2 linked regions of the Daphnia pulex genome follow. The protein of the gene in region 2 purifies or fractionates together with the protein of the main gene of each other region. This does not show direct contact. Links are inferred from orthologs where the notes say so. Each region holds a gene or a part of one and is shown on either strand. Other genes may lie near its edges.

The links.
Region 1: the proteins of NADH dehydrogenase [ubiquinone] 1 alpha subcomplex subunit 13-like (region 2) and protein NDUFAF4 homolog purify together in Homo sapiens (co-immunoprecipitation; 4 studies listed by BioGRID and IntAct, counting the BioPlex papers as one, with this or other methods). This does not show direct contact. The link is inferred for Daphnia pulex from reciprocal best matches to the Homo sapiens genes NDUFA13 and NDUFAF4.

What each region holds. Positions count from the first base shown.
Region 1 is NC_060022.1:721,940-724,793, reverse strand, and holds protein NDUFAF4 homolog, read left to right. Parts: upstream 1-1,543; 5' UTR 1,544-1,545; coding exon 1,546-1,702; intron 1,703-1,765; coding exon 1,766-2,071; intron 2,072-2,132; coding exon 2,133-2,290; 3' UTR 2,291-2,354; downstream 2,355-2,854. Other genes in the region: bromodomain adjacent to zinc finger domain protein 2B-like, read left to right, coding at 12-536, 621-770, 834-1,099, 1,159-1,323. UniProt on the Homo sapiens protein: Involved in the assembly of mitochondrial NADH:ubiquinone oxidoreductase complex (complex I). May be involved in cell proliferation and survival of hormone-dependent tumor cells. May be a regulator of breast tumor cell invasion.
Region 2 is NC_060018.1:5,771,294-5,774,236, forward strand, and holds NADH dehydrogenase [ubiquinone] 1 alpha subcomplex subunit 13-like, read left to right. Parts: upstream 1-1,506; 5' UTR 1,507-1,575; coding exon 1,576-1,666; intron 1,667-1,799; coding exon 1,800-1,953; intron 1,954-2,034; coding exon 2,035-2,104; intron 2,105-2,169; coding exon 2,170-2,310; 3' UTR 2,311-2,364; downstream 2,365-2,943. Other genes in the region: paramyosin-like, read right to left, coding at 427-713, 792-998, 1,062-1,178. UniProt on the Homo sapiens protein: Accessory subunit of the mitochondrial membrane respiratory chain NADH dehydrogenase (Complex I), that is believed not to be involved in catalysis. Complex I functions in the transfer of electrons from NADH to the respiratory chain.

The sequences.
Region 1 (2,854 bases), on a different chromosome or scaffold from region 2:
TGTATTTGTAGAAAGGAAGTACCGTTTCTTGAGCAGCTCAGAATCTGAAGTAGAGGACGAAGTAGAGGACGAAGTGGAGGACGAAGTGGAGGACGAAGTTGGGGACGAAGTTGGGGACGAAGAGGACGACAAAGTGGAAGACGAAGAGGACGACAAAGTGGAAGACGAAGAGGACGACAAAGTGGAAGACGAAGAGCACGACGAAGATGATGGCGAAGACGATAACATTTTTCTCAGTCCTCAGAAAACAAAAAGTCATAAAATTTCGGTTCCTTCTGCCACTTTAAAAACGCCAGCCTCAGTCGCTAACAAAGTTTCAGAATTGGGTACACCCAAAACTTCGAAATTCCGTTTCCTACCCGAACCGGTACCACCGCCCCGGACTCCCAGGCGAACGCTTACTTTGGTCAAGGAATCTTCACCGAATAGAGTTGAGCAGTCTATTAGCATTCCAGAAGATGTTGCAAATGCAGAACTGCACAAGAGATCGCAAAAGGAAACTCCACTTATTAGGCCTTCAACATCTCGTGCAAACGGTAATGATAACTGAATTTTAAACAAAATTTGCCTCGCAGTGCACACTCTTTTGTTTATTTACAAACAAACTGTTTTGTCTTTAGAAGAATCAAGCGAGGAAACTCCTTTGTCAAAGAGAAGAAGATTCCCCGATTCTTCAAAGAAACAGTCGTCAACTAAACGACTCCAATCCCCTGTAAAATCCTCGCAACAGTTGAACGATCTCGAAAACGACATCTATGCCCATGGGGATGGTATTTTTTTTTTATAGTTCATTTAAAATTTGAATTGTATGTCAAAGTATTCATTGGATTTAGATTCTGGACTTATTGAAGAAGTACTGAAAAGAACTATGCTCCGATCTGCGAATTCAACGAACCAAGCCCCATTAAGTTCCGCCATTGATCCGTCTACACTTCCGGTGCCAAACCGCAGTCATCTACGGACGCAATTCAATCTTTATTTGGCCTCACCCGGCGATCCTGTACGAGTACAGCAACTGTCTAACGCTGAACACAGCATGTCGTTGGTTCATCTACTGCCAAAAATTGTTTTTGCTCTGAAAATTAATAACCCGATAATGGTAACTTTAACTGGTGTAACTGATTTAAATCTTTATTTAAAAAATTTTTTGTTATACAGGTCGTGCGACTCAAAGGAAGCGTCGAATTTAGAAGCAATCCCCATGTTCCAAGTCGCATTTTACTCAACTCGTCTACGAGACTTGTTGACCTTAAAGCGGGTATTCTTCACGTGGTCAACACAGGGGAACAAGTCGCCTCATTTGTACTTTTCGAAACGTTCTAATAGTGGCATTACCGGCAATCTGATTTTTTTTTGCTTCCCTCCAAAGTTTATATTTTCATTCATGTACACGAGATGGCGTTCGCCGTCAACCTGAAATAAATACACTTTTGATTGTCGACTGCTTTTGCACTTGGTATTTGCCTTTGGTATTAGTATTACCTAATATTTTCAGTTGCGAGATTCGTTTGAATTTGTAAAGTTGAAAAGTTCGTCACAATCGCAATGGGGAATATAACTGCTAAAATTACGAAAAGAGCTATGAGGCCCTTTAAGAATTTTGCTGTGGAAGCGCGTACCGAAAGAGTGTTGGCAAAGGAAAAGCCAATATCGGCTCCATGGCACCCTACCACACAGAAGAGAATTGACGAAATCATGAAAAGTACGTATTTTTGAGATTTTATTAATAGTGATTCGTATTCTAAAAATAGTTATTGTTTATTAGATAATCCACATTTGATGGAGGAACAATCCAACAATAAAGATGAGACCTTAAACAGTCGCCTGAAAGAAGTTTATGTAACTTCACATGACAAACCAGAAATACCTATAAGCACAGAAAAGCCCCTTCCATCACACAGAAAAAGTGTTGAACAAGCAGAATTTGGTTACCAAGAACCTGTCAGAGTAACAAGAGGGAAATTGAGTATTCGCCAAGCACTAGTGCTTATCGGGAGACATCAACAGGATCCTGCTAAATATGATGCTCTGGCATTGGCAAAGGAATTCACCATTCACCCGATAGTGTCAGGTATAGTATAGAAAACAATGAGTTTATTCAAATAATTTATAAGCAATAATTTTTATTTTAGGAAACATTTTAAAACACTTTAAAACTTTTGAATACTACAAGCCACCAAAAGTCAAAACTGCAATAGAGGTCAAAGATTATATAGATTTGAAATCTTTACCAGCAGCAAATGAAACAGCAGTCCAACCCCAAATAGAAGACCATAAAATTAAGAGCTGATTTAAAATGAATGTACTTAATTGTAGGGAAAAAGAAAAACCATTTCAATAAAGTATAAAACATATTTGTAATTTTCCTGCGTGCGTGAAGATTTTATTTTATTTTTTTCAAACGATGCTTCTCTTTTTGGTGGCTTGGCAACGCCGACACGCCATCATTGCACTGCCAAAATTTAGAGATTAGTGTTAGTCCTCTTTGCTTGGTGGGCTAGCATCTTGTGGGCGTGTATGTTGTTTTTGATGTTTTTCATACTTTGGAGTGATTAAAACGATGAAATATTGCAATTCCGTCGGGATAGAACGATAGGTATGTCACGCTTTCAAATTCTTACCAACCAGTGGGTTTTGACGTTGCTTTGCGTTCAAGTTGTTTTGAAGGAAAATGCGTCATTCTAGGTGTCAAACGCTAGTTTGTATTTACGACTGATTACGGTTGGGTGTGTAATTTTAGAAGAAAAAAAAACAGTTATTTAGCTGTTGTAAATAGCTGTGCAAGTATTTATAGTAACAACATGATAAGAGTGTTAAAATCAGATATTGCAAGTGTAGGGTCTAGGGTGTAGTG
Region 2 (2,943 bases):
ACGTAAAACGTACAACTAAGACCGCTGTAATTTGATATAGGAAAAGGAGCAATAGATTTTCCTACTAAAAACAAAAAAGAAAGAACATCTTTATCTATATATGAACATTAAAATATCGATGAAATTGTGTAAATGGAAATTAATCGTGGTGTAAAAATACGAAAAACGTCAAGAAAGGATTTAAAATCGAATCGAACCTTCTTACGCCACCTAGCCTTCTGTTTCTGAATCAATTGAAGGAGAAGAGTTTGAATGTAATTTTCATTAACTAAAATCTTTCATTTGTGTTAAAAAACGCTATCACGATTACTTCACGTTACCACGTTGACTACTTCAGAAAATTCTTAACCCTTTGATAATTTCTTTACATCATAAAAAAGTTCAAAAACATACATAAAAATAAGTAATAGAAAACGAGATCCATACCTACTGATGTCTTCAGATGTTTTTGATTTATTTTGTCCATTCCAACAAGTATGTTCTGTCCATTGTTGGTTCAACACTTGGATCTGTTGTTGAGCTCCAGCTAAATCTTGCAAAACTTTTTTTCTTTGAATTTCACAACTTTCATGACTAACAGAAAATTTTGCATTGGATATTGTGTCAATCAGTGAAAATAGCCTTTGTGTCACAACATTTGCTTGGCCCATTCTACTAGACTCTTCATTTGAAATCATCACCTTTGTTTCACTTATGATTCCAGGTACTTGTTTCTGTTAAGTATTGTAAAACCAAACTGTCATTTAAATTTTAAAACAAAAAATTATTAACTGTAAATATATCAGCAGTACCCTGTAAAATGACACTTCTTTTTCCAAAGCTTTGATGTAGATTATCTGCTTCTGAATCATTCCAGTTAAAATGTAATCTGAACTATTTCCTTCAATCAAAAGTCCACTTTTTTGAGGTACTGGGCTCTTGAAGAGAGCTTTACGAGCAGAAAGTGATTTTGTCTCTGAATTTTCTGATGAAGAAAGATCACGTCTTATTTCTGATGCCTGTACACAAAGAACAGGAACCAATTCAGTTTTGATTATACCATTAGAAATAGTTAATACAACCTTCAATCCACTTCTATAAATTTGTTGATCTGAACTATCACTTTCAGACAAAAATTGTTTAAGTTGATGAACCGCTTTGTAGTATTCATCTGGACTATCACTCTTCCGGAAATCCATTTTTGAAGTTTTTGTCACTTAAGAATTAAGACAAGTATCAAAAGTAGTAGTTACGTAAACTGAAAAATATCACCAGCAGTGAATATGTTTGTTTTGATTTGAATCATCTTTTGCAATTCCATTTTCACGTCGCTATGACAACGACAACTGCACTTTGCTGCAGTTGCCATACATTTATATTAATTCAATAAACTCACAGAAACTAAAAAAAAGGTATCAAAATAACATCCCTTATTCCTTTGAAGTTTGAACAGTAAGAAAATATTTTTATCTTCAGCATTAATATTTTAATTACCTTCTCAGAAAATTTGTGATTATTGCCATCTTCCGCCAGATGGTGATTGTATAGCTGATTCAGGTGTTTACAACAGACAACAGTATCCAGCTGTTAGCAAAGATGGATGCCACCATCAAGCAAGATTTGCCACCTCCTGGAGGATATGAAAAAATTCAGTATGCTCGTAATCCAGCAAAAACATTCTTTAGAGGTATGTCTCGATTACATTTTCGTGGAATAGTTTTGATTTATTTACCTTCAATGTATGTGGTTTTTTATGTTCAAATAGTACAGACCTTACATCTTAATTTGCTAATTACAATATTTTTACAATGTGTATACAGGAGGAAGGTTGCTTGCTGGATTTATAATTCTCAATGGCTGCACCACCTACTATTACTTTAACCATCTTTATCCTGGAATTCTCCATCGGAGGGTTGAAAAAAAAGGTTCTCACTTAGCAACCTTGCCTTTGCTGTTGGCTGAACAGGATAGAGCGTAAGCATTAATTTAAACTATAAATTTCATCAGTATACAACAATCTAATTCTTAGAAGTAATTTCCTTAAATTTTTTGTAGATTCTTAAAGCACTGCAGAGCTTTGCGAGATGAAGAGGAGAAACTAATGGCCAATGTCCCTGGCTGGGAGGTATGCATATATCCTGTATTTTTGTAATTTTTCTATATTAAAAAAATGGTCATCATTTCATTCAGGTTGGCAAGTGGAATGGTCAACCAATTTTTAAAACACTTGATAAGGATGTTTTTTCTAATCCAATCCTTAGTGAGTACTATTGCCATGCCCCTTATATGGATTTCTACAAGAAAGCTATGGAAGAGGCAATCCAAGTTTAGTTTTCATTCCTGATGTAAATGTGAAAACAGGAAAATCTAGTAATGAGTATTGAATGGTACTGTGCGATCTTTGAGTTTTGGAGATGTTCTCTTTTAGTCTCATAAATTATAATTATGATATGCTTGAAGGTTAAACATTGACATCTAGTCAATTAAATTAATTAGGTGAAACATATTTAAAAAGGAGTTTAAAAAAACAAGTTTTATCATCTGTGGAGAAAATATCAAGAATTTGGCCAAGAGGCATGATATAGTCGGATGAAGCAAAGACGTTGTAAGCTTTACGTTGTCTGCATTTTTTTTAAAGCTAACCTCCACCAATAGACGTGAGGCATCATTAATTAGACTTTCGTGTTTTATACGAACATTTATTACTTAACATAGGTAGTGGGGAATGTTTTTAATGTACCGTCTGATTTTATTTGTTTCTATAGAAGAACAGCACCAGCCGAATATCAGAGAATTGTAGGTTGAATAGCAAATTTAAAGGTCTAGTTAGAATGACATTTTCATTGCCCAATATAGGATACTCCAATTCCGCAGAGAGCTGTGTGCATAGAAAAGTCGAAAGAGATCGATGGTTCTCCAGCTGACTTTATTATGTATATTGGATGAGAGTAGCGAAACCCAATC